Astyanax mexicanus: one gene and its partners. The protein of the gene in region 2 interacts with the protein of the main gene of each other region in a pairwise test. Links are inferred from orthologs where the notes say so. Each region holds a gene or a part of one and is shown on either strand. Other genes may lie near its edges.

Region 1 (6,864 bases), on a different chromosome or scaffold from region 2:
AAGGGTAACATTTATTGACCACAACACACCATACACTAATCACGAAAAAGACCTTTAAACTGGTAGAGAACCCTTAAATCACATGACAATTCTTAACACTTACACATCTCTTTGACAAAGAGTTCTTTATGGAACCAAAAGTGTCTATTGCATTGCTCAAAGAACCATTTATGTTTTATGGAAACTCAATCCGGATTTAAATGTAAGAGAGAGACAGAAAGAGAGATCAAGAATAAGAAAGAAAGCATGAGAGAGCCTGGACTTCTTTTGCCTGATTAGATAAATGTTAAATTGTCCACAAAAATCCATAGCAATTAATTGCAAATTAGTAAACAAATAATTAAGCACTGAACTGGAAAATTTAATGTGTGCTTTTTATGTTCTAAGGTTCAGCTTGGCTGCATGTCTTGGTTGTAAAAATGAGCAGTATTCTTTGTTTCTGTCTTGCAGTGTGGGAATATTCACTAACTGCAAAATGTCAAAAGATGTCAAGTGTTACAGTTCCTTCCCCACAGTGGAAGAATTAAACGGCACCCCAGAACAAATGGGAGCTGAGGAGTTTGTCTCAAAACCCTTCCTAAAATGATTAACCTGTCCAGAGAACATTAAGAACTGAGTTCAGAACTAAGAGCTTTGTGGTTGATGGCAATTGTTCTTTTTTCTTCCTGTTGTTGCGTTCGTCAGTCTCCCCTCATTATATGAAAAGAAGAAGAAAAATGTATGAATGGCCAAGGGAGATTTTCCCACAGTCCTTCAGCACAGAAAAATACACCATTGTGGGAAGCTTCCCATTCCTAACGTCCTTACACATTTGTTTGACAGTCAGGGTTACTATAAATGGGGAGTAGCCTTTTCAGAGTCTTCTTTGGGTGAAAAAAAACAGATGATTTAGAGAACAGAATCTGACAGCATCACCAAGAGAGTGACACTGGAAACAGTCGATACTGAATCAGTGTCAGATTCATCAACACTCTGTTAAAGGTCAAGATACCTTGATGGACACAGTTCACAAGTTCACCCTATTTAGCAATGATGCCTAGTTGACATGGACAGTCATTAGCTAAAGGAAGCAGTGCCATCACATGACTCAAACAGACAGCTGAATATTACAGGCTACCGATAAAGCACTATGAGATAATGTCAGGATGCAGATTTAAAATAATTGGCCTACAATATTATATCAGTAGATAATAGGCCAAAAATGTTTTCTTGTCTCATAAAGGATTTATACATATTTGAACAGGGAGACACTATATGTAATTCTGCCTCTGTACACCATTTTAACGGATTTGATATTTGCAAAAATATGAAACTGTTAACAGTAAAGCTTAAACCTTTAGCTTTCATTTAAAGAGTTTAACAAAAAACTGCTTTAGCCATTTATTTTAATGTTAAGATTTTAGGATTTATGATTTTAAATAATCCTTCTATTTTTCACAAGCTCAAATATTACAAAACAAATTACAAAATGCTTGTTTTTAATTCCTGAGTTTATATTCTTGGGTTGTTTTAATGTATATTGTGGGTCATTATCTATAGGTGCGGTCACTGCATTTAAGCAGAAAGTAACTCCTCAATTAAAAAAAAAATAACTACTACACCTCAGAACTTATTTAGCTAACAGCTGCTGTATCAAATGACAGTGATCCAGGTAACCACTCATGCCAATGTCATAAAAGACCCTCCATCATATATTTAGATGATTTGAAAGATGCTACGTAATGCAGATCAAGAACTCTTATTAGTGAGTCAAAGAACAAATTAAGGATAATGAGGTAAAAAAAAATCTTATTATGTATCAGGTACAAACAAAAGCAGTATCCATGAATTGCTGAGAATTTGAAGAGACAAGACGGGAAGAGAATCACCAGTTTGTAAGAAATTCTGTGATTTTTTTATTTAAATGTATAAAAGTAATGTTCCGCAAAGAAAGAATGGAAGGAACTTGCATATTTCTCCTTCTATGGTGCATAATATCAATAAAAAATATTAAGAGAATCTGGAGGGGTTTTTTTTTGCATCAAGAATCTGCGTTCAACAAGAGCTAAAAGAATCACATGGGCACAAGATTACTTTTGCAAACCTTTGTTAAGCAATACAGAATTACATTAACAAAACAGAGGTGGAATCAACTTCTCTGGGCTAAGAGTCTTGAATGGACTATCACACAGTGGGGGGGGGGTCAAGTTTTTCTTCGGGGTGTAAACGGAAACAGCGCAGGCGCTTCACTAAACTGAAGTCTTACAATCCTTACAGTGTCTCGCTTCCTTACTGTAATGTCTACAGCACGTAAAAGATAAATCCATTACATTAGCTAATCTAGCACATACCACACAATAACCTATATAGTCATCATACATAATATATTATACAGCAAAATCCACAGTTAATCCTCCAAAAACAAACGCAATGCTATTGGCTGCTATCTTTTATCAGCTTTCTCGCTATTAATTTTTTATTCATATTCTACAGGATCTCTCCCACAGGAATCGTTTGTTATTTAATAAAAAAAAAAAATAGAAAATAACAATGTAACTTAAATCCCTGTAGATAAGGCTTTTGTCCCATCTTATCCACATATTTTGACACTGTGACGACAATATTAAATGTTAAGAGGAGATATAGGAATGCATTTATATAGCTTCGGTAATGCATTTTTTTTAAAAGCTTGGCTATTGGTCATTTTCAAAGTAACCTAATAAAAAGATAAGCTTTTAGTTTCTTGTTCACATTTCCTTTCCACCTTAACAGTTTCCCTGCATTAAAACACACTTTTTAGACTGTAGTAGATGATAAAAGTGTTTTAAGAGTTTTACACATTTCTGCTTAGGGTGTGCAGAAAAAACAAACAGTCCATGTAAAACAGAACGTGGATTCCCATTTGAATGTTCTGTTCCACCTTAAAAGCGCTAAAAATTGTATCTACAGCCTGTGTGCCGCGACAGCAGCATTTAAGGCGGATTGGTAAATTAGCAGCATTTAAAGTTGGATAGCAAATTCCTGTGAGTTATTTATGTAAGGAAAAGTGTGTTTAAAGTGCATATTTAAGAAAGCTAAGTAGATAGCAAGCTACTTACACGTAATGCTGTAGCTTGGGCAGCTTGTGCACCTTAACTTAGACGCAAGTCACCTGACCAATAATGAGCCAGGCAGGTAAACGAGAGGAATGCTTATTAACATGGAATGGTATGATCCACTATAGGGGTGCTTGAACTCCTATTACAATATTCTTCCAGGCATAAATACCCCATACTATCGTTTTTAGCCCTTTAGGGGGCTTGAAGTCGTAATTGGGGGTTGAAGTCTTAAGGCGTTGGCGGGTTGGTGCAGAGAACTGTAGTAAATATAAAAGCACAAAAAAACAATAATCTTTTTGTTGTTACAGCACATCAACTAACCTCCCACAGGAGTATAAAACATAACAAGAGTCCCTTTTGTTCACTTAAGGTTAATATAATAATAATAATAATAATAATAATAATAATAATAATAATAATAATAATAATAATAATAATAATAATTTTGTAGGAATACATATTTTATGTAGTTATTTTTTTTTACTTTAACTCAGTTACATATGTCACTTAGAAACTTTGAGTTAAAACTATGAAAAATGTAAAGTTACAGGTAGGAACAATTTTTTAAAGGATTTGTGAGACATGCGTCACCATGTGCTCCTTTCTAGTTTTTGCCAACGGACCTTTTGCACTTTATTCATATTGCACAGCCCTGGGTTGGAGTAAGTGAGGAGGCAGAACTGGGAAAGACTCACCACTGGTTATTTATAGTACGTTATACTGGAGTTTACTGGTTTCTTCTTCTGTCTTTCGCTCTCTCTCTCCGTCTCCTAGCAGCCACTTCCGGTTGAGTTTCCACCAATCAGCAGCGCGGAGGGACACGGAAGTGCAATGGCGGCGAATGGAGCGGGTCTGCAGTCCAGCGAGGAAAGTAAACAAGAGAGCAGGAGCGGAGAAATGCGCCCTAACGAGGGACCCAACCAGACTCCTAACCAGAGTTTCAGACAGTGTTTCTCCTCCCTGCTCGGGTCTCTCACTGAGCTGGGCTGTGAGGTTGGTTATACTGACGTATTTTTCTAGTTTTACACCTGAATATATATATAGCAAGAGCTGAATGCAGTTTATTACCGTAACTACAGTCGTTTGTCGCTTCAAATACAAATATACCCATACACACAGACAGCGCCTGGACTCAGGGTGTAGACGTGCTGGAAATCTACACCCGTGTACACGCTGTCTGTTAGCTTTTTAGCTAGTTATGTTCTTACAAACCAGGACTGTGTACTGGCAGCTAGTTAAAACACTGCTGCAGATTTCCTGCACGTGTGTGAGGACTGGATGTTCAATACACAGTGTAAAGGAGAAATCCTTTGTGAAATAGACTTGAGTTGTAGTGAAACATGATAAAGATTACAAACCTTTGTTAAATAGTCCAACTCGGTTCACCCCCAGCATTCTGAAAGGCAGCACTTTTAGCCGAAGCTCCCAAAAGGCTTACAGTGCTAGTGATATGGCACAGCATTGCCCATGCAGAGAAATCACTGTTTTTACACCATTAACAAGCTTAAAATAGCTGCACACTTCATTGATAGAATTCTGAGCGCCCTGACATTTAAAACGAGGCACTGAGAACTTTGAAAAGTGCTCAAGGGGGCTTTAGTGCTGCCACTATGATTGCCACTATGTGGCATATGTGCTTTTCTACTCGACATCCGGATGGGTGGGACAGTTGTCAAAACAAAACTAATTTTTAAAGGAGCTAGTTTTATGCTCTTAGGATGTTCTGTATATGTCACTTAGGAACTTCATGAGTTAAAAGCTAAAATAAATTAAACATTACAGGTTGCAGTAGAAACAAATTTTAAAGGGTCTGTGACATACATCACCATGGGCTCTTTTGGCATAAACAAGTTTCCTGATCTCAAAATATGGGTTATCATTTTACCTACAATGTGTAATTTATTATCAGTATGTTTTACACAAACAAAGATAATTGTTAATCCTGATATTGATTTGAGGTCATATCACCCATACCACAATACCTATTAGTGCAGGTTGGTGTGCTTGGCTGGCCAGGTAACTTAACCCTAGTCTGTCATGGGCAATGTATTTTTAACTGCTACATTCTTTTTTTTAATCTAATATTTTTGTTTTTTTCTGCCCTTTACTATTTAGTACCCCTGATGTCTATACATGAGTGTAAAAAGCTGGATGCTTCAGATTGGCTTGAAAGATTAAAATTAATTACATAGTATGTTAACATCCCAAAAAAGTGGTTTAAGTCTGGTAACATTTACAATACTATATAGTTCCCATTAGTGTATTAATCAGGTGAATCAAACAAGCTGGAGTTTGGTAGACATTGTTTTTGTACATAGTACAAAAAGGGAGCTGGCATTTATTAACCTTGTTACCACAAGTTTAAATTAAATGGTAAATATTTAGACACTAGAATTATACTTAAGCTCCTTGGTACTTGTTTTCCAGCTAAAATTATGCACCAGCGTTTTAAGCATCACTGCCAACGTGAATGCAGTTAATGTTGCTGACCTGAAACCATCCCATGTGTACAACTGTTTACAACAACACATCTCCAAGTTACAGGTAAATACATTTTATGACATATTCCCAGAAAAAGACTATTGTCATAGTCAAATCAGTCATTCAGTACGGTCATTGGGTACGGTTTACCAACTGTAGCTTTTTATGGGGTTTGTTTGTGTGTTTTTCAGCTAATATCCTCAAACCTGAAACATATTGTGGAATTGGAAAATCAGTCTACATCAGCCAGTAGAGAAACAACCAGGAAATCCAGCAAAGAGTTGGTAACAACATCTGACCAAGAAATGGAGATAGACCCAGGGCAAATTTCTACCACATCACAAGACCACACTGCCCTTAAAGACACTGCGAAGACCCAGATTGATGACAGCAGTATTCAGATTAAAGCTGGCAAGGCTGAGGTAAAATATTTGCACATCTTATGCACAATATAGCAATGCATTGATTAGGAATTATGCAGAAAGTGGCTCATTGTTGCTCGTTCTGGTATAATAGCTTTAGTGGAGTTATTCGTAACTGATTTAGAATTTAAATTATTTTGTAGTAGAAATATTTAAAAATGATCATTTAAAATGGATCACTAAATAAAAATTGTCTGATGTGCATTCCATTTGAGTAGATTAAAATGAACAAAGTAAACATTATCTATGTGAAATATATATTTTTATGTGGCCCTATTTGTATCATGTACATCATGTGACTTAAAGAAAGAAAATTCAGACAGTAAGGCAAAGTTATTTATAAAAATATGGAATGCAGAGTTTTGCCATCCTGTGTGAGAATCTACTGAAACATGGTAAAGCCTCAGCATAAAAAAACTTTCTAAACTGCAGTTAGTCAAGAGTGGAATGTTACATTTAGCTCTGTTCATTTAGCAAGTACGATAAATGCTATAGCATGTGGACCAGAGTTTTCAAGTTTTCATATGCAAAGGCAATAAATTAAAGTAAAAAAAAAAAAAAAAAAAACACTGTTTACAATACAAAAAGCAGAATTTGTAATTTTTTTAACATTTTACCTTACATGCTGACATGGACAGCCACAAGAGTATGGAGACAACTCAAAAACACCAAACAGACCATGTCAAAATAAAAGTAACTAATGCAAAAAAATAAAAATAAATAAATAATAAATAAATAAATAATTAACATAAATATTAACACTCAAATATTTACAATCACCCTGAAATCTGGAGACTTTTTGTAAATGGTGGGAAGGACAACTCGGCATCATAATCGGCCCAGTTATCCTGTAGTGTGGGCCAGGCAAAAAGGGGATTAACTGT
Region 2 (7,143 bases):
ACTTCAGCCTGGGAAACCCTTACCCAAAACTCTGCACGACAAGTCTGGCTTTATTTTAATTCCAGAAAAACAAAACTTAAAAGATGAAGGAAGCCGATTCTTTGACAAATCTGCTTCACCATGCTTATCAATTCAGCTGACACCCCGTAGTGAATGGAGTGAATGTGTGTGAATGAGTATCAGGGACTGAAAAATAGACACTTTGAAATAAATTCTAAATTGCAGTTCTCTTTCAAGCTATCCATCAAAACCTGGAATGAATTAACTAACTATTATATAAAAACACAATACACAATACTCTCATTACTGAAAATGAGGGTCTTCCTCAATGAATGTCTGAGTAAAAATGAGATGGCTGACTGATTGGCTACTGGAAGACTGATGCATAGATCAATAATTAAAATCAATATTTGATTATAAACTTAAATATATAGGACAGTAAACATCTATGCTGCTGGGTTAATTCACAAAAACACCTGCATTATAATTATTTTACTAAACTGATAACACTCAGTAAATGCATTACATTCTTCTGTAATAGTAATTAGGATAAATACAAAAAATGTAATATTGCATAGGGTCAATATTTACAGTCTATCTGAGCACAAGCACAACTTCCTGTTTACCCTAAGATTCAGATGAAAAGAAACAGTAAATGAGATGAAGAAAAGTCAGAAAGAAAAGTAAAGTGAAGCATTGAGAACAAATTGTTAAAAGATGGATAGAAAGAAAAGAGGGGGAAATCGGCAGCAAAAATGAGCCGCTCAAAAATAACTAAGTGTAGCTAAAAGTTACTTCCACTGATTGGAACTGAATTAAAAACAAGTGAACAGGGGGGATTCCACCAAGCAGTAGTGTGAGAGGGGGATGGAGAGAGAAAGACAGAGAGTGTTGAGTGTCAGGCCTGATATCACCTGTTCTTCTTCCACCTGCTCTGTTCCCTCAGTCAAACCTTCAGAGAACCATGGGTGTAAAACGTGTGCCACACCATTACTACTACTGCACACACGAAGCCTGTGACATAACCAGTCCAAAGATACACATGAGTATGATCTCTGTGCTTCCAGGAGGCCTGAAATGGAGAGCCAGTGCCAAACCATTGGATTAAGTGTGCTCCTTAAAGACACATCTGAAAGATATCATCATATATGAGGGTATCATTCTGAAAATATTCACTTCAGATCATAACTGACACTCATAGCCTACTACTTAAAGTGAGCAAACCTCATCACTTCAGTCTTAGCCTGGCTGACCTAAAATGACTTGATTCTGACTCAAACTAGGCCCACCCTACTGTGCTAGACTAGGACAACCAGCCAGTGTACAAAACAAGCAAATAAACAAAACCCTCATTGCTAACAGCTAGGCTACCTGACGCAGCTCTTTTCTTAAAAAGCTAACTACACCACTAACGACAACAAACACCTCTCTGACTTTCTTCACCAGACTGGACTGACCCAAAGCAAACTGACATGTGACCAGACATTCTGTGATCCTGAGACCACTGCTGATGGGTCACTCTCTCAGACTGCTAGAAGCTAGCTTTATTATTATTAAACTGGAGGAAAAACATCCAATAACAAGCCTTTCTGTCCTGAGACGACCTATGTAACATGGCAGAAACAGTTAGAAGGCGGTTTTGTTTTGTACCCACCTCACCTAGTTAGTTAGTTAGCTAGCAAATTAGCAAGTTAACTAACCTAACTAGCTAGCATGTAGTATTTCAGTGTTTGGATACTGAGGAAGAGGGAGAGGAGAAGAAAAATAAATTCGGGAGGAGTCCTGCCAAACCAAACCAACGTGCCCCACAATGGCTAACATAACCTAGATAGATAGCTGTTAGCAAGCTAGCCAGCCAAATCTGACCAGTGGAAACAAATGATAACACATAGGTTAGCAGATACAGGCCAGGAGCTGCTGAGATACATCACCATCATAATTATCATCATCGTTATTATCATCATGTTTTTCTTGTTTGGCCCTTCTTTAGAAGACTGTAAAACCAAACCTCGTGCCATTCATTTATGCATTTAGGGGCCTTCTTGGTTAGAGCTTAGAGTAGTGCAAGTAAGTGCATGTAGCTAGTTAGCTAGATAGCTAACCTAGGTGTCTCAGATGAAGCTGCAGACTCACACATTTGATTGAGGACAGCATGTTGGCTAGCTTAGCTGAGTGTGTTCCGGTCTATTTACCTTATAGAAGGCCCCGTTAGAGCCGCGAACCTCCACCGCCAGTCCGTCCATGTTTGCCGGCGCAGCGCCGCTTTGAGAGTCGGGAAGCACCCCCAGCTTCGCCGGCCCTCCGCCGCTCTCCGGCCGCTTGAGGATTTCCAGTGTTTCGGGTGGAGAGGCAGGGGGTAGAGATGATGGGTAGAGAGGGGGAGGCTGAGCAGCAGAAGGTTTGTTTGGGCAGAAAGACACCCACCCTCAATTGCTTTAACTAATAACTCTACAACCGCTAACTGGCGAACTAACCAGTTAGTTAACTAACTAATCTAACGGTCTTGTTAGCTAGAAGGCTATTTTACCGTTACAGGCTATCGCAATAGCTAGGTTAGCTAACTAGCTAGCTAGCTAGCTAGCTGTTATTCTACTCGGCTGTGTAGCCGGCCACGCTCCCCCCTTGCTGTGGCTGTGCTGGGGTGCTGAGGGTGATGGAGAGGCGGTGTTAGCTAGCTAGCTTTAGCTAGCATATTAACTCAACTAACTAGCTAACTAACTAAGTCAGCGGCTAATTAGCTAGCTAAGCTAGCTATAGCTTTCTTTCTATCACTAGGTTAAAGCTAACACCTCCTTCCTTAGTTACCGGGCTCTTATAGCGAACTTAGCGTAGTTACGCTACGCGGCATGTATCTGTGTTGTTGAGCAGTCTGGACTCTAACGGGCTCCAATCTTCCACACAGCAGCGCTATCAGCTTAAAAAAAATACCCCAAACCCGCTGTGCTCTGCTACCGCCCGGCAACTCCTTTAACCCCCGTTGCCCGTCCCCTCGAACGCACGCCGTCAGAGTGAAAATGCGAGAGTGTGAATGACCCCAAAATGCCCACCCCTACTACTGGAAAGCCCGCCCTCACTGGAGACTAAACCTTTTCATTGGTCAGGGCACGTATCCATCTAAAACTAAGTCCTTCCTCATTGGTGGAGATGCCGGAGGCCGGGTCAACACGAAGTCCAGTGCCTGCGCTGCTGATTGGTGGTAGTTTTTCTTTACTAAATTTAGGCGACTCTTTTCACTATCCACGCCAATTCACAAAAGCCTGTGTGTGCGACGTGTTTCTACTGCTGGGAAAAATAACAAACACGACCTATTTTAGACTGTTTGAGACTATTTATTTTTCATTATGCTCCTTTTCTTATTTTATAGAGATTCATTAAAAGATAAATGCAGCTGAACTGGCAGGTGAACTTGTAGTATTGCCATATGGCCTCATAAAGCCACTCGAACCTTATTTCCACAATGCTGAGGTACATAGCGAATTTGAGAAACACACTTTATTAGCTTAGCGTTTGTTTATTAGATTGGTTACATGGCTATATGGTCATAAATACACACTCCATTAACACGGTAATGGTACTGGACATGTAGTAAGTAACTTACACACTTCATTAACACGGTACTGGACATGTAGTAAGTACACTTTATTAACACGTTACTGGACATGTAGTAAGTACACACTTCATTAACATGGTACTGGACATGTAGTAAAGACACTTTAACACGATACTGGACATGTAGTAAGTACACACTTCATTAACACGATACTGGACATGTAGTAAGTACACACTTCATTAACACGGTACTGGACATGTAGTAAGTACACACTTCATTAACATGGTACTGGACATGTAGTAAACACACACTTTAACACGGTACTGGACATGTAGTAAGTGCCAAAGGTGTCACAATTCATTATGCAGCTATAAGTATAGATACTAGGGTTTAAAGCTGAATTTTGGAAGCTGAATTATGAAAGAATTGTAAAAGTTCTGGTTTTAAAACTGCTTAAAGTATAACATTAAGAACAAAAGCTTAAGCCACACCACTGGAAACTATAGTGCATAACCCCCTCCCAAAAAAAAAACATTTTTCTAAAAATCTTAATGACTATAATGTCATATTAAAATGTTTATGCTGAAAAATCTTGTAAAGTATGTAAAAATATAAATGCTAAAAGACGAAGATAAAGCTATCCGAACAATGTCAAGTTACAGAGTTTATTTCTTTAGTACTTGTTTTTAAGACTGGCTACATGGCTACGTGGTAATAAGGTGAGTAGCTCATGCTTTGGGATATACACTTTGAGGCAATTAGCTAGCATTGTACTGCACATGTAATAAGTACACGGTTCATTAACTAGCACAAGCATAGTTTATATAACTGGTCACCTCAATTGTTATGATTTTTCTCAGTCTGTACCCTTACTGTAGCCTATTAGAATTCATAGACTAAACCAACAGGAGTACATTCTCTAAAATGTAACAACAATTACAAATAAAAATGCAATTAACTATTTACATAATCATTTCCACAGCATGCATCTTCTACATATATCACAGGTAAGTAAAACATAGAGTGACATAATAAAATGCAATAATTAGCATTTACTCTTTTTCAGGTTTACTGGATGCTGCATGCTGCCACTCCCTAGGGACACAGGTAAGTATCACTTTCAAGTTTATAATTAGTCTTTTTGGTTAAAAGTGAAAAATGTCTTTGAGAAGTGTCTTTCAAAGGTGACTTTATGGTTACCTTTCCTATCACACATCCCTAAATGAAAATTACCAAATTGTTCCCAATTTTCCTCTTCTGGTGCCTGTTGCATGTGTTACAAGACCTCAGGTGTGAAGGGGAAGCAGGTGTGTTTAATTTGATGTTATTGCTCTTACACTCTCTCATACTGTTCACTGGTAGGTCAACATGGCACCTCATGGCAAATAACTTTCTGAGAATCAAGAAAAACAAGAATTGTTGGGTGGTTATGGTTTTAAGGATGTAGGTTGTAATGGTACAAGTACAAACTTTAAGTTACACACTTTATTAGCATGGTACTACCATGACACGTTAAGGTATATCTTTTGGGGCCATTTAGTAGTATTGGTTCATATTGTACTAAATGCTGACTGGGTTCATTTCAGAAGAAGCAATGAATGAGAAGGGGCTCTAATACTTATACTGGTAAATAAAATGAAAACAGTAATAATAAAAAAGAACGCAGACTAGCTATCCATATTTGTTTATTAAAGCTACCCTGCATATAACAGTTGTTCATTTATTTGTTGTATACTATTTCAGATGTTTGCAGACTCTACCTAGACAATATTGTTTTAATTAAGACAACCAACAAGGTATATTTTCTAATTGACATTAGTGCAATAGGATTTAACACGAATACTTGAATATTAATGTAACTGGGTTATTGTCAGTTGTTAATTACCGGGCTGCAACTCTTTTTTGTTGTTTTTTGAGGTGCCTTTAAGGCGGTATGTAGTGGGTTTGCTGTCCTCTTGTTTATTTTATTTAACTTAAAGTAAATTGTTTAATATCCTTAATTTCAGAAGAAATAATAAATGAGAAAGTGTCTCAATACTTTAGTCCATATAGGGTCAGTCTCCCAGACCGGGCTTAAAACTAGTCATAGACTATATTTAATTTTTAATTAATAATCTCCATTTAGACCAGCTTTAATTCCTGTCTGGGAAACTGACCCATAGTTTGTAATTGTGATTGTAAATAATGTTTAAGTATTAGGTATATTCAGAGTGAGAAGCATAGAGATGTTATGGCATATCTTATATATGTTTTGTTTCTTTTGGCTCACATAAGTTTGCATTCATATGGCTAAGATGGCTATTTTTTTTCTAACTTTTAATTCTTCATATTACATCTAATCATTTGACCACAGTGGATTAATAATTTTCCATACAAAAACAATAGATGGAATGTACAACTTATAACATAAAATCCTTTAATTTATTTCCTTATCATAATAAATATATTATGGGGACATTAATGGAGTAAGAATATCAGTAGATGAGTGAGGAGGGGACATATGTGAAGAGGCTAAGTGGTAAAATGAAGCAGGCTACTCGGAACAGCTGAAGACGGCAGAGTTAAGAGGTCAGGTTAGAGGTCATCTGGTCCAGATACTATGACAGTTTTATGTGGCACACATGTAATGACGTGTGAATGCGACTATGAGCTGAATCAACGCATGTTTGAAAGGTTTGCTAAAGAAGACCTGTAGAAGGTTAGATATGTTGTGTTGGCTATGGTTAGTAGGGTTTTCAGTGTGTTTCAGTATTTCAAGCGTCTGTGAAAAGCTCACAGGGTAAAACAGGTGCTGGGAAACACAGCCAGATGTCAGTTGTGTTCTCTGCCTGAAATAACAAAAACAAAAGAAAGCTACTGAGTGTTTTTACAGGGTTCTTTTCACTGCCAGCTGTGTCAACCTGGTTTTTTGGTGTTATATTTTTTTCCAGCAGAGGGCAATATAGCCCTTGCTGTGTCGTTCCTTCAAAAATTACAGTCTACAGATGTCTAGGTGTGGGTTTTTATAGGCTAATCTGAAAATCAGTGATTTATCATGAAGTGATGTTTTTCAGTAAGTCCAATAACCAAAAGAGTAAAATGGAAAATTTTAAGAAGACAACCTTGGATAACAAATCTTGGATTACACTGCAAATCAAAATGCGAAATTACAATTTGTGTCAGAGCAGTAGTCATTTAAATGTCGTCCTGTGCGAACATATGGGGACCTTTAGCCGAAAGACATTTAACACTGACATGCCAAAAGTCACGAGATAGCATATGCAAATTACTAATTGAAGTGTTACCTCAGAGGACGTTTGGGAACACTCACACCTTCAAAAACTGTGAGGTGTTATCTTGTAATTGAGGTTGAACATTGGCCAGCATGCTCATAGCAAGATGGCATCAGCTATAAGAGTTTAAGATAGACATTTATGATTCCTTGATCACCAGTATGTATCATATGTGCACTGGGAGTACGTCACATAAGCCATTACCACACATAATGAACAGTGCAGTGCAGTAACCGGCAGTATCTGCTAGACAAGCAACTCCATATTGAATGCAGTAGGCCACACATGCATGTCCTGCTGGTTAGTGCAGTGTTCTTTAGC
Region 3 (7,190 bases), on a different chromosome or scaffold from region 2:
AGGTTCCAGGTTTCCTTCATGCAAAAATCCACGTCTCTCCATTTCCAGCAACAGTTCCGTGCCACTTTTGGGTCTGTGACGGCCGAAGGCAAGGCAGAAGTCCCCTCGCGGGCATATTCTGCGCCAAGCCTCCAAAAGACGCGGGCAAGGAGAGTTTGAGGGCACATCGGAGTCCGGAGAGACTTCCTCTGTCCATCCCTCTGGATCAAGAGGGTGCCTGCCTGGGTAAGCTTCGTCGAGAAGAAATGATAGCACTTCAACGTCGGATTCTGTTAACTGGGAACCCACAATCTCGAAGACTTCATGAAGAGACAACATGTCATAATAGCTCAGGCAGTCTGTCTCCTCCCAGTGCAGGGAGTATCTCGGGCAGCGGACTGTTGCCATGATTAGCTGGTTACCAACAAGTGTCTGCAAGTTTCTGCAACAGAGAAACATGTTAATAATAATAATAATAATAATAATAATAATAATAATAATAATAATAATAATAATAAATAACATTAATAATATTAATATTAAAAATAATAACAATATGCAACATAATCGTGTATAGGTCCTACGATTCTGCAAAATTTTGTGTTTCTATGTCAAAAGCTGTGGGAGGAGTAGGGTTACAAAAAGGGTGCAATAATAATAATAATATTAATAATAATCATAATACGAAGAACAGCATGTAAATAAAAACATAATAAACACATACACACACCAAACACAAACTCCACCACTTAAGGTAGAACTGAAAATGTAAAATATCATGCTGTATGACTGCAAGAGGAAACTTCTCTTAAGCAGATGACACGTCAAAATACGACTCATGGACCAAACATGCCCAGTCTTCCGCACTGCCGGTGTTCTGTCGAGTCGCGATACCCATCAAAACGTGCTACTTAAAGGTTCTGCGCATGCGTTAATTCTCTTTTTTTCTATTTTCACGTGTTTTCCTGATAATGATGTTTTTCTTGGGATTTTTTTGCTTAAGTTAGATATTTTTTTTACAATAAAAATATAATAAACAATAACTATAAAACAGATTCTAATCACATATATTTGCCAAGACTTTAAACGCGAGAATGATGTATTTTTCGTAATGTTTACCTTTAAATACACTAGGGTAGCATGTTTTGACAAGGTGGCACAAAATGACAGAACACCGGGTTACATCACGGTTCTAGTGCACGTGTACAAATTGCGTAATGTCACGTTTCAGCTGTCACTTGTAACAGCTGTAGCTAAAGTTGCTTCTAAACACAACACTTAACTCAAAATTACCTCGCGTTTCAGCGTTTTGGAGCGAAATAAAAGCGGACGAGTTCATGCAAGTCGGGCTACAAAGCTATCCGCGCGACCTGCTGTGTCAGCAGTGCTGTATTCACTTTGATTACGGTACAAACTCATATGTATGTTAAGCTTAAAGCGTATATAACACTTCTTAATTTTATTAGTAATACAACAATACAACAATAAAAATTGACAGAGCCACAGCAACGCTTATTTTTGAAGTCAAAAGACAAATTAACTTTTATTTATTTTATTTATATAAAATGTATTCACCTTTTTCTTTCTGTCTCACACTCGCGTTGTCATGCACACAAACACACACAGCGGACTGCATATTTTCACTCAAGCTGTTGAGTGTGGAATATGGAGCTACACTAGTGTTAATTTTCTCCATTCAAAATCACATTTACACTAAGTAACTCAGCATATTACAATAGTCTATTCTACACTGAGATATTATTATACAGTAACAAAAATGGACACAGTTTGCCAGGTGTTTATCACCATACACCATTATTTTTGCCCCTTCCCAAAAATACAGTTAAGTACCAGCATTAAAAAAAAAATCATGATTTTATCCACGATTTAGTCACACAATATTGTTGTGATTAATACAATTATTTTAGGGGTTGGCACCAATAATACAAATCTGAGTGTTTCTAACATTGATTACTTTATTCACATGTGAATACCCATTATGAGGCTGTGTGATTTATAAAGATTAATCTTAAAATTCTATTGTAAATAATTCGATTAATATTTTAAATGAGGGTTTGAAGTTCTTATATGATATAACCTAGCTTAGCTAGCTAACCTAGTAACGAACTAACTAACTAACTATACAATAAAATAACTAGCAAGGAACAGGTAACTTACCATCAGTTCCATGCTAGCTAGTAGGACAGGGTGACATTTAAAAAATACTAATTTTGATATTTTCCAAATATATAATCGATTTTCAGTTATTATTTAGATTTTAACATCAGTTTTCACTTAATGTGATAAGTAAGCTATTGTTTCCTTTACATTTCGTTTATTTTTTATTTTAGGAAATAGTAAACAACCCCCTTCAACCTTCCTTTAACATTAGCTTTTTTTATTTAGCTTTTATATACACGGTGCAAGCATAGTCCTTGTATTTCAGTTAAGGAAAAGTGTACAGTAAAATAGTTTTTTTTCTGACAGAAGCAACTGTCTATCTACTGAGATTATCTCTGGTAACGATAGCTCATATGTGTAAGTATGTATAAAATAGTAACTTAGTTAAGATAATTCGATTATTCATATTAATTCAAATAATCTCCCAGCCCTACTAACTGGCTAGGTTAGGTAAGTTAATTAATTACCCAGCTAGCCTAGCTATGTAACGTTACTGTAGTATTTGGCTAATGCTAACGATATATTACACACTAACTTGACTATTAGGAGCAGTTCCATGAATTTAGTTAAACTAGCTAGTATTTTTAAGCGATAATTCTCATATTTTTACAGTTTCCAGCAACACTCCTCATTCGAGAACATTCCGTTTTTCGGTTTTACATCGGGAATTTCCGGCCTGTCAGGCTTTATAATCGAACTGTTTAGACAAAGTCGGTTATTTTAGATTCCTTTGAGTTATTATTGCATGTTTATTAATGGAAATTATCAACAAAACCGACGACAGTTCTCTAAATAGAAGGTTTACCGAGGTTAAGGGATATCAATAAGGCCCCTGTGGACTAAGCTAGTTACGCTAGCCAGCTACACTTCGCCTGACACTTCTGCCTGCCTTAGCTTAGCAACAGAAAAACAACCCTAACCAGCGCAGCCGTCGACGGACCACACAAAAATACCGATTATCAACACTAAATATACACTAATATTAAAGTTCACCCCTCTTTATTCGGTACAGAAATGATATAAACCTTATTTTACCACACTTACTTAGGTCAAAGCAAGAGGACGCCCACGGTCAGCTTTCTCAAAACATCCCTTCACTAGCTTAGCTACAACGGGGCATACAGAATAACAACACCGAACAGCCAATCACAGCGCGCACAGCACACGCACCGTGACGTCCCACACACCGCGACCAATCACAGAGCGCTCTGCACCTTTACATGTGTTATTTTTCAATATTTTTATTGTATTTAATTTTTCGCTGATAATAATTGATGATGTACAGTATGTATACAGTACTAGTCAAACGTTTGGACAAACATTTTCTCTTTCAGTGTGTTTTAGTTATTTTTTATAATAATTACAAAACACTAGACTGTTCTAATAGTAAAGCTGAGCTGCAGTAATCAATAAAAATTTGCAGACTTTACTGTTTTTAAAAATATCTAAATATGTGTGGACGGGCCTGAATGAATACCATCTTTGAGGGCTATGTCTTATACAAAGCCCTGCATGTATTTGGCCAAATTTTTAAATTTTATTAAATTTTAAGAATGGGTTTCAGACTAAAAATCTTAACATAATTTTTAATACACTTGAAAAATTTTGTAAATGTAATAGTTTGCTTTTTTAATGTATATACATATTGTGTACACCTTAATGCTAGTGGGGAAAAAAACTACACACTTTGCTTTTACCAAATTGAAAAACTCTAAAATATAACCAAGAAGAAGATGGATGATCATGAAACTATCAAACCTTCAAACTAAGCTGAACTGCTTGAATTTGTGCACCAGGAGTTGCATAAATTTATCCAAAAACAGTGTGTAAGACTGGTGGAGGAGAACATGCCAACATGCATAAAAAAGTGGTCTCTCAATGTTTTACAGAACTGTATATTTTCTATCAAGACAAAGTATAATATAAAGCGTATTGCTTAAAATACATTTGATGGAAATACAGAGAAAGTATATTTAATGTATATTTTCGTAAAGTATAGTAGGCAACACTACTTATACACAGGTACTTACCGCAGATGGCAGTGTTCAGTATACTATACTCACTGTTATAGTAGAAGAAGCAGCAGCTCCACATCATCTGCCAGCAGAGCACAATATAAACAGGACCAACATTACAGTAAGAAGCGATTTTCTCTGCATTCTGTACGATTTAAAACCATTTTAATGTGTAAGTTATATATTCTTATAAACTACTTGCGTGTATAGTTATCTATTACATGCCCAGCTTTTATTGTGTAATATTACAGGGTGTAGAGCTAGTAACGTTAAGCAAGTTAGTTATTAGCTTAGCCTCGGTGGTTTAACGCAAAACTAATCTAAAAAAAAAAAACAGTAAAAAAAAAAAAGTTTAATTTTAGTTAATTTGGTAAATTAGTGACTTAAAATAGTCTTAAAAAATTGTAAAATTGTATTTTTGCCTTTCTTATACGGTTCTAAAGGGCTGGGCATGAAGTGACAAAGATTTTCCATTAGCACACGTAGACGTGGGTAAGCCAGGTCCAGAAAGTAAAGATCCAACCCAGGGTTTTCCACCAACTGCAGAGCCGCACAGGCCGTCGGTGCAAAACCATGGGTTGGGTTTTCACTTTCTGGACCTGGGTTACCCACCTCTAGACACGAGCTAACCAGTTAGTAGTTCGACTTGTCCATCTTAAATGGGGCAGGAGTTAACGTTACATTCAGGCGTCTACATTTGAGGTGGAACGGCACATTTATTTTGCAAATATTTTTAATTATCTTGCCTTTTCCTCCTGTTTTAAAATTAGGCATATAAAAGCAGCTAGCAAATAATAAAAAAAAACAAAAAATAAAATAAAAAAAATCTTATTTTACCTGTGTAATTTTATATTTTGTATATATGCTACTAGAGTTAAAGTAGAAATACACAATATTTTGACAAGCAGACAAAACAGAAAAAGCTGTGAAAAAATCTGTGATTCTGCTATTCAAATACTTTTTATTCAGTACAGTGATTTTTTATTAATTTCTTTGTGGCATATGTAATTAAAGAATATAATTAAATTTAAATGTATCTATATTTATGTATAACCCAGCAATAACGTAGTGTACGTTCAACAGGTTAAAATAAGCTTAAAACAAAAGCTGTGTATTGTTCCTTGAATGGTCAGCTTCCTTTGTGCTTCCTTTATTTTAATTTAATTATTTTTATTTCATTTTTTTGCACAATGTAACATCAAGAAATTATTTTTGCATAATGTAGTGGAGTAAAATGTAAATTTAAAATCGTAGTGGATAGAAGTTAAAAGTGACCCAAAATGGAAATATTTAAGTACCCACTAATTCTAGAGACACAGCCAAGAGCATGTAATATTAAAGCTGTCAACTAAATTAGGACTTTCTCTTGTTCTCTTAGTTGTGTACTTTCCAGCGGGCTAAGGTGCTGCCACTATGATCGGGAGATTGCTGGTTCGAATCTCGTTAATGTAGCTTGCCATCAGCTGCTGGAGTCCTGAGAGAGCACAATTGGCCTTGCTCTTTCTGGGCGGGTAGATGGCGCTCTCTCCCCACATCACTCCAAAGAGTGATGTCAATCAGCACAAGGCGTCTTCTGTGATCTGATGTATCAGAACCGAGTCACTGCGCTTTCCACTTTGAGTGTGAATTGTGTGGATAAAAGTTGCCTACTAACAAGGCTACAGATGTTTACCAAAAAAAGATAGTCCTCATATAACGGAGAATAAAACTGTTAAAGGTATATGTGATATATAACATTTGTTATATTAATATTCGTAATTAAAATACAATATGTATCCATATATTTGCACTTTAAAGCCGCATTAAAAGCTTGTTGGTCATTTTTAGGAACCTAATGACGTATTTATGATCTCTCAGACCGGTCAAACAAGATTCTTTGCATTCTTTCACAAACCCTGAAAGCTGAATATGGGGTGAGAGGTTTCCATTGACACACCCTTTCTAGCTTTTTATTTAAGGTTATTGAGAAATAGAGGTTGGTGGCCAAGATGTTCTACATTATGAGGTATTGTCTTTCATCTCTCTATGAGACTGTAGCAGGTCCAGTTATATAAGAATACATTTGCATCATGTCTAATTGTGTAAAGTCTGTGTAGGCATTTTACGGTAAGATAAGTATATTTGTTTCTTTTTCTTGGTGTGTTTGATTTTAGAAATGGATTCGAAATTGAGTGACCCCTTCAGCAGCGATTCAGAGGAGCTGCCCGCAGCAGGAATAATGAGCAGGTGAGAAAAATCAGAGTTTAAATGTTTTTGTAGGGATGTATTTCTTAAGCAGTTAGGGATGCCCTAGACTTATGTTTTTTATATGAACCAGCAGCCAAACATGCTTTTCTGCACCCTCTACTGGTGACAGTAGAGGTTTTCTTTACGTGTGTATGTGTGTGTGTGTGTATATATATATTATTCATTTTTGTTTTTATCCAATTAAAAATTTACTAATCTAAAAAATAAATCAACAGATTAATATATTTAGGTAAAAAGCGAAAGTAATGGAAGCAGTTACAAAAACTCACTGTAGCAACAAAATCTAAATATTTGCCAGAATTTGCCCCATTTAAACCTGTGATTACCAGCATTTTGAAAATAAAGTCCCTATGCTCTGTAGGCCACACCCCACATTTAAAGCCTGATTGGACAGCACAGGGGATTTAAACAGCTTGTGTTAATAGTGCAGTTCAGGGACTTATTGGTCTCTGACCTTTATCTTCTACAGAAGAGAAAAATGGGTTGCCAGGTCTCAGGAAGAGATACTGATCATATAAACCCAGTGTTGTGTGGTAACCTGAAATACTGGTTCTTTTCTAATGGTGGTGGTTGTTGTTTTTGCATATTGTAAAAGCGTACCTAACAGATGATGCACGTCGCTCTGTCTTCCTACAATGTCAGGCTGCTGCCCAAAGGCATGTCCGGTAGCATGATGAAGGAATGGCTGGACCGCCGGAGAAAGTCCATCCGCCCCTGGGCCGGCTTCGTGGATCAGCGCAAGTTCTCCAAGCCCAAGAACTTTGGGGA
Region 4 (7,641 bases), on a different chromosome or scaffold from region 2:
GGTTTGGCAGTGGGTCAGTAATGGTGTGGGGTGGCATTTCTTTGGAGGGCCGCACAGCCCTCCATGTGCTCACCAGAGGTAGCCTGACTGCCATTAGGTACCGAGATGAGATCCTCAGACCCCTTGAGACCATATGCTGGTGCGGTTGGCCCTGGGTTCCTCCTAATGCAGGACAATGCTAGACCTCATGTGGCTGGAGTGTGTCAGCAGTTCCTGCAAGATGAAGGCATTGAAGCTATGGACTGGCCCGCCCGTTCCACCAGACCTGAATCCGATTGAGCACATCTGGGACATCATGTCTCGCTCCATCCACCAACGTCACGTTGCACCACAGACTGTCCAGGAGTTGGCGGATGCTTTAGTCCAGGTCTGGGAGGAGATCCCTCAGGAGACCATCCGCCACCTCATCAGGAGCATGCCCAGGCGTTGTAGGGAGGTCATACAGGCACGTGTAGGCCACACACAATACTGAGCCTCATTTTGACTTGTTTTAAGGACATTACATTAAAGTTGGATCAGCCTGTAGTGTGTTTTTTCACTTTAATTTTGTGTGTGGCTCCAAATCCATGCCTCCATTGGTTAATAAATTTGATTTCCATTGATGATTTTTGTGTGATTTTGTTGTCAGCACATTCAACTTTGTACAGAACAAAGTATTCAATGAGAATATTTCATTCATTCAGATCTAGGATGTGTTATTTGAGTGTTCCCTTTATTTTTTTGAGCAGTGTATATATATATATATATATAACTAGTCTGCCAAATGTAAACCACACTACAACATTATTACTGTCCTCTTCTCAAAAATTGCTTAAATGTAGTCATGTTTAATCACAGAATATTGTTGTGATTAATAGAAAGGGATTTTAAGACACCAATAATGCAAATATGTGTTTCTAACACTGATTCTTTATTCACATTTTTAAATGCACATTAAAAAGAAGTCTCAAGAAAGAAAGTGCTTAGTCATGATCACATAATTCTGATGTGATTTTCATTATTTGTTTAATTGATTGACACCACTAGTTTTATGATATGCAAGATGTACCTTTTGATGTTATTGGAAGTTTTAAGTTAAACACAAGATTCAAGTTGCTACAGTTGTCATACATTCTTAGGACGTTGCAATAATAAGTAAAACATCTTTTTCCCCTTAGGAATGATATTGGAGGTATTAGGGGTGTCACAATTTTGATATTTCGTCGAAATCGATCGAAATTGTGTCATGGTCTCGAGCCTTGAAGTCAAAAAGAGCATCGACGATCCCTCCCTCTAAGCTACGCGAGCTACGCAAATGGCGCAGCACACTGTAGCCGACGCCGCCGGACATTGTGACTGCTCAAAGAGCAGCCCTTTCTCCAGAGAATGTGGACATTCTCATCTTCTTAAAGAAAAACTTGAAAATATAAAAATAACAGTTGTTTTGTCTAGTCTCAAATATGTTAATAGTTTTGGTACCTTAAGGAGCATCTGTCTCTCAGATAAAGTTAATAATATATCTTTGTTAAAGAAAAAAACTTGTCATTCTCAGGGACTGAAAAAGTCTTAGTCTTATTTTTCATGTTTAACTGTTATAGTAGGATAGAGTTCAGTTTGTAAAGGCTCTAATTGTTCTATTATTTTGTACATGACTGTTCCTGTATTTTTTATTATTTATTTTGTTAAGTTGCACATTTGCTGTTTTAAAAGTGCACACTGCTGCTACCAAAAAAGCCACTACATGGCATTACATATATATCTTAATTAAATTATTTTAATTTGACCATTAGTGCCTAATGTGGTTTATTACAGATCACTTGTATCACTTTGCATCATTTATATCAAGCCCACCTTTTGAAATATTGTAAATTTGATTAATCAAACCAATGGCTGACCATAGACTAATCTAAAACTGGCATAGGCCTCTCTGCTGTACGAAAAAAAAAAGAGAGAATCGCATGAAATCGTGACCATAAAATCGGAAATAAAATCAAATCGAGGATTTAGAGAATCGTGACACCCCTAGGAGGTATGGGTGAATATGAATATAACATGCCTTTTGTGTCTGCAGCATAGTTTTAAATTTAATTTAAACACTGTAAAAATAGATTGTTTAAGATTTACTATGAATAATCACAAACATATTGTTACAAATATAGATTATATGTTCATCTTGACTGTGAAGTACATTTTGTACATTTTATTAGAGGTGTCTTCAACTAAAGATTTTTATAGTCGAATCTGATTCGTCAGATTTTCCCTTTAGTCAACTAATAGTCGAATCATTTTTTTCCCTATAGCACCATAAAAGGGATCCCCATTCTCTTCTGGACTTTTTTTCACTTCAAAGGAAAAAAACTAAAACACAAGTTGGGAAATGTGTTGGCTAACTTTGTTAGACAGGCACTGTGCAAAAAAAGTATACAAAAAAAATTACAAAAAATAAATTATGTAATTTCTATTATTATTAGAAAAATAACAAACGAAAATAAACCCAAAATGTTGACAAAAATATAATCTAACGAATTTCAAAACACAGAAACGAAAAACGTTAAAATGGTATTAATATAAGATGATATAATATAACAGCTGGATCAAACAGTTTAGCGTCAGTCATAAGAAAAGCGCGCGCGGCATAGCGATTAAAAAAAACGTTTTAATAAATAAGGTCCTATCAAGTGAATTAAAATATATGGTATTAAAAGGTATTAAATTCACATATTTATTGTGTTTAATCAAGAGAAATCAGGCAAAATGCGCCGCGACGAGCTGAATTCAGCGCGAGGCTTTAATAATATAAAAACTCAGTTTAGTAAAATAAATTAAGATGAGTGAGGACCTGTAAAGTTAATAAAATATTGTCAAATATAAAGGATAGGTTGAGGTTTTGGGGAGCTGTTTCAGTTATTTTAAACTGAAACTAACTGAAACCGATATTATTCTGCGCACTATTAGATAGCCTTTGATTGTGTTTTAAATGAGTTTTTATTTTATATTAATTATTTTTTATTCATTTTAAATATTTTTAGTATTTTATTGATCAAAGTCTTTTGTATAAGCCTTCATCTCACTGTTTTCATCCTCCGCCTGGTCCTCCTCATCCTCATCACTGACCAGCAGCATAGACATCACTGTGTCTTTATGTCTGGGCACAGTCGGCCCAGCATCCACCACCATGTCACTTTTCTCCAGGGATGATCTGTCAGTGAGACTCTCGGCTAATTCTGCTACCGCTGAACACGCCTCTTCTCTTTGCGCATCAGAGAGAGAGGAGAGCTTCTTAAAGCAAATACACCGGCAGACGCTGACAGCCCTGTAGCGTGTTCAGCTCCGCTCATTTGGATTGTGCAACTGCAGGGGGTGATATATTAATGTGTAAGAAGCCTTTTTGTTAATGCGCACACGTAATTAAAAACAAATAACAGAAATTAGTACGATTTTATTTGACAAAAGGCAATATATTACAAAAAACAAAGACATTTCCTATAACAACTAATGCTTAGCAGCCTTGGGCACCCCCATGCAGTCAGAATAGTACATTCGACTATGAGGTTAATAGTCGAATAGAGGTCCTCCGAATCAAATAATCAAATCAGCGACTATTGCAGGTCACCCCTATTTTATATTTTATATTTATATTCTATTATAACTATTTTATACAGTTTTTTTGTTGTAATTGGAAGTTTAGGCATTTTCAAATATTCATTTAGCTTAACATTTAGCTATTTAATCCTGTCCACAAATTCCCTGCTCATCTTGTCAACTTTGGATAACCCTACTCTGTAAAAAAAAAAAAAAATAATAATAATAATAATAAAATAACCTTTGGTTTCAGTGACATCACAACCTTTAGACTTTTTCTCTATCTTCTTCAAGGGACTAAAGACATTCTGAATTTTCAAAACAGTCAAGATGGTGTTTTAATTTGCCTGTCTTACCATCAAAGTTCTCTTAAAGGTGTTCTAGATCTTATACACAGCACTAAAATCTTGTATCACCAGCTGAATATGATATGCCTTCTTTGTCTCTTTAAATATTGTTTAATTATTAAATTGTCATTATTTTTAAGTACTGTCATTTCTTTATTTTGGGGTGCTAGTCATTTTGAGAAAAAATATTATTTTGAGATGATTTCCCTAAAATATCAGGAAAGTAAGTAAATATTTTGAAAATAAAAACATTATTTTGAGATGATTTCCCTAAAATAACAAGTCAAAATAAGGTGAGTTCCCTAAAATATCAAGAAAGTAACTTATTATTTTGAGAAAAAATACATTTGTAAATGATTTCCCTAAAATATTAAGAAAGTAAGTCATTATTTTGAGAAAAATATATTTTGATATGATTTTCCTAAAATATCAAGTAGTAATTATTAAAAAAAAAGATAATTCCCCTAAAATATCAAGAAAGTAAGTCATTTTAGAAAAAAATTATTATTTTGAGATGATTTCCCTAAAATATCAAGAAAGAAAGTTTGAAACACTTCTCTATATTTTGACATGCATTAGTTATGCTTTTGGAATGTCGTGTGTAACAACGTAACCATTTCGGTTTTTGAATTAATTATAAAAAACTTTTATTCTTTCTTTATCTTTTGTATTTGAAAACCACATTTCCCATGAAGCTTTGCGCTCGAGTTTGAGATAAAAACATCCTGCTTGTAACCGTTAGCTGCCAGTGAGCTGCGCATTTCTCCAGTGAGGCGGTTACTTCTGCTAGCCCGGTGAATTCACAAACACACACACATGGACACCATGGCAGAGGGCGACAATAAAAGCTCTAATCAGCTGGTAGGTGTTCCGGTTTATTTACTCTACAGTGTGGAAACGAGTATAAAGGGAAAAAACTAACTAATTAGCCGGTTAGCTTAGCGCGGACTGTTTACAGCGGGGAGGGCTAGCCGCTCGTATAGCTAACTCCAGCTAGCTGCGCTAGTCCTGTCACTTTGATAGCCAGCGAGCTAGCTTAGGTTAGCCAAGCAGCAAGCTAACTTAGCTGGCTAAATTACTGATGTAAAATATATAGTAGTTTAAGTGTGTTCTCCTGTTTTATTATTAGCTTAGTTTAGCTTAGAATTATTGAGGTTACTAGGTTAGCTAACTGTAAATTAGCTAGCGTTCGCTGGTTAATGTTATAGTGAGCACGGATGCTGGAGAATTTGAGAGAAAAGCTAAAGAGAAGAAGACTTTTTAATCCAAATAACTGATAATGGTCTGATATGTTTGCTATATACAGGATATTTGATATGAAAAATACAATTATTCCTGCCTGCTGTTAAAAGCTATAGTCAAGCTTTATTAGCCAGTTAGTCAACTAGCTAACTAGCTAGTTAGGTTAGGTGTGTCCCCACTTCCCCTATTATTGCTCAGTGAACACATGAACCAAACCCTTGTTCCGTGATAAGATAATAGCCATATAACGCTAGCTCAGCTATGTCGACCACAAATGTACATTTAGCGAGTAACGAGGAATTAGAGTTATTAGCTAGTTAACGCTAGCTACGACGCGTTTTAAACTGACACCACCTCTATCAGTTGACATTTCATTTCCACCTTAAATGTAGCTGCAGTTAACTAGATGCTCAAGCCTCTACAAGCGCCTCAATAAAAGTACTGCATAATTTAAGGTGGAACGGGACATTTAAGTATATCTAAAGCTGCGTAGTCTTTAATTTGGGAGTAGTTTCCTACACGAATCTCACTTTATTGTCGGGTTATAGTGAATCACAATTATCTAATATAGTTAGCTAGCAGCCTTACTGTTAAACATATACAATTTTACAGAGCTGTAGGTTAAATAACCTACAGCTGAGTCAAAGAAATAGCTAGTTAGCCAGCAAGCTATAAGAGGTCTGTTTTTTTAGGCCTCATTCTAAAGCAAGTTTAAGTACAAGATAATCTAAGTAGGTATAAATCAGTAATGATTTAAGTTTTAGACTAATTATTTCATGACCTATATAGTAGCTATCTTGGGCTTAGGGCGGGACTGGGCATCCAGGCTCTGTTTGGCACAGGCCTAGCTTCTGCAGTATGTACCTGAAGTCTGGACCAGATATTGCCTGTATTGATGTATCGTGATTTTTTTATGTGGATGATTTACACTGTTATTTTTTTTGCTTATGGTGTTCTTGCCAATTGATAAATAATAGAACGTTGTAAAATGTTTTCTGCTTAATTTTAACATGCTATTTAAAAATCATTAAAAAACAATGGAATCAAGCCATAGCCCTATCCGGATGGGATTAGTTTCTCAGGGGGACGTTTGTGAAAAATATTTCACACTTTTATTCAGTGATAAAACTCTTGCATCCGGACTGCTATTGAAAAACAGGAGGACCAGTGAGTTTTTTTTGTCTTTTTCGGTCACATTACATTGTGATCAGTAGCTCCTCAATTTCCACTCGCTGTTGTGTTTTTACATGGCTGTCCATTGAAACATGCACCTAAAGTGTAATCCAGTTTGTTGCAGTGGACAAATAGCTATTTTATTAAACGCGAGGTGAAGAAATTCAGAAATGGCGTCCAGACAGAAATAAAATTAACAGACAACCACAGAGTTCAGCGAAAAACAGTAGGTAGTTCAGCCTGTAAGTTTTTCAAAGGATGTCTGACAAAAACACATACATGGTCGTTCTGGACGGGATTATAATCACAGAGGACCCCCATAAATGAGAAAATGACCCCAGGACCCCATGAGAAACTAATCACGTCTGGAGAGGGCTCATATCAGCCTTGTAAGACCAAAGAATTTTGTGATATCATAGCACCACGGAAACATTTATTTGTTAGCCTTATTAATTTTGATATTATAGAAATGATTCATCCCACCTCACTTGTGACTCCTGTGATTTTAAGACAGAGCTAGTGAGTGACAGTGAGGGTGTAATACAAAGATCCTGATTGGCTGTCTTTGTGCTTATTAGTGTTAGTATTGGTGTTTTCTGTTGACAGGATTTACACTCAATCTCTCTCTTTCATAGTGCAGTAGTTCATTTGCAGAGTGGGATGTATGCTAGTAAAAATATTATTTTATTATTATTATTTACCCAGTTTAAATTAGGTTATATGGCACTTTACTGACATTACATTCATCTACGGCTGTATCTGAAGATATTCAGGTTAAAATACATGTATTCAAGCTTTCAGTGACCTGAAAGGATATGCTACATTCTACTGTGTGTTGTTGCAATCATGGCACTGGGCACTGCCCATCCATGGAACAGGACAGAATGTTTTTGGGGATGTAATGCCTGTTATTTATCCCTATTTTACATGCTATACCTAAAAAACAGTACTGTCATATGGCATCACTACCTGCATAAGACAGATCGTGCTCATCCCTCCTATGTGAACAGACTGTTTTCTGTTCTGTTGTTGACTGTAAATGTTGTATGTAATATAGGCCCAGGAGACTGCGCAACTCGAGGAGCAGCTTCAAGGATGGGGGGAGGTCATTTTGGCCGGGGACCAGTTCCTGCGGTGGGAGAAGCCATGGTTCCCCGGTGTGCTGATGGGTGCCACCACAGTGCTTTTCATGTGAGTTAACAGATAAGACACAGTTCACACTGCCAACTCCACCACGCCCACACACTGCAATTAGAATGTGTTGTATAGGCCTCTAGGTTTTTGAACAGAATTATAGATAAAATCTACAGCAAATAAG

Evidence for each region.
Region 1: the proteins of fxr2 (region 2) and MAP3K12-binding inhibitory protein 1 interact in binary tests that used the Homo sapiens proteins (3 or more experiments, as listed by UniProt). The two-hybrid records come from large-scale screens. The link is inferred for Astyanax mexicanus from reciprocal best matches to the Homo sapiens genes FXR2 and MBIP.
Region 3: the proteins of fxr2 (region 2) and rabac1 interact in binary tests that used the Homo sapiens proteins (3 or more experiments, as listed by UniProt). The two-hybrid records come from large-scale screens. The link is inferred for Astyanax mexicanus from reciprocal best matches to the Homo sapiens genes FXR2 and RABAC1.
Region 4: the proteins of fxr2 (region 2) and arl6ip1 interact in binary tests that used the Homo sapiens proteins (3 or more experiments, as listed by UniProt). The two-hybrid records come from large-scale screens. The link is inferred for Astyanax mexicanus from reciprocal best matches to the Homo sapiens genes FXR2 and ARL6IP1.

What each region holds. Positions count from the first base shown.
Region 1 is NC_064421.1:23,788,503-23,795,366, reverse strand, and holds the start of MAP3K12-binding inhibitory protein 1, read left to right. Parts: upstream 1-3,854; 5' UTR 3,855-3,908; coding exon 3,909-4,070; intron 4,071-5,504; coding exon 5,505-5,621; intron 5,622-5,749; coding exon 5,750-5,980; intron 5,981-6,864. UniProt on the Homo sapiens protein: Inhibits the MAP3K12 activity to induce the activation of the JNK/SAPK pathway. Component of the ATAC complex, a complex with histone acetyltransferase activity on histones H3 and H4.
Region 2 is NC_064415.1:16,169,048-16,176,190, reverse strand, and holds the start of fxr2 (fragile X mental retardation syndrome-related protein 2), read right to left. Parts: upstream 3,023-7,143; 5' UTR 2,244-3,022; coding exon 2,193-2,243; intron 1-2,192. UniProt on the Homo sapiens protein: mRNA-binding protein that acts as a regulator of mRNAs translation and/or stability, and which is required for adult hippocampal neurogenesis. Specifically binds to AU-rich elements (AREs) in the 3'-UTR of target mRNAs.
Region 3 is NC_064413.1:5,389,711-5,396,900, reverse strand, and holds the start of rabac1 (prenylated Rab acceptor protein 1), read left to right. Parts: upstream 1-4,182; 5' UTR 4,183-4,296; intron 4,297-6,328; 5' UTR 6,329-6,330; coding exon 6,331-6,401; intron 6,402-7,064; coding exon 7,065-7,190. Other genes in the region: dedd1 (death effector domain-containing 1), read right to left, coding at 1-387. UniProt on the Homo sapiens protein: General Rab protein regulator required for vesicle formation from the Golgi complex. May control vesicle docking and fusion by mediating the action of Rab GTPases to the SNARE complexes.
Region 4 is NC_064426.1:19,378,834-19,386,474, reverse strand, and holds the start of arl6ip1 (ADP-ribosylation factor-like protein 6-interacting protein 1), read left to right. Parts: upstream 1-4,617; 5' UTR 4,618-4,724; coding exon 4,725-4,769; intron 4,770-7,380; coding exon 7,381-7,514; intron 7,515-7,641. UniProt on the Homo sapiens protein: Positively regulates SLC1A1/EAAC1-mediated glutamate transport by increasing its affinity for glutamate in a PKC activity-dependent manner.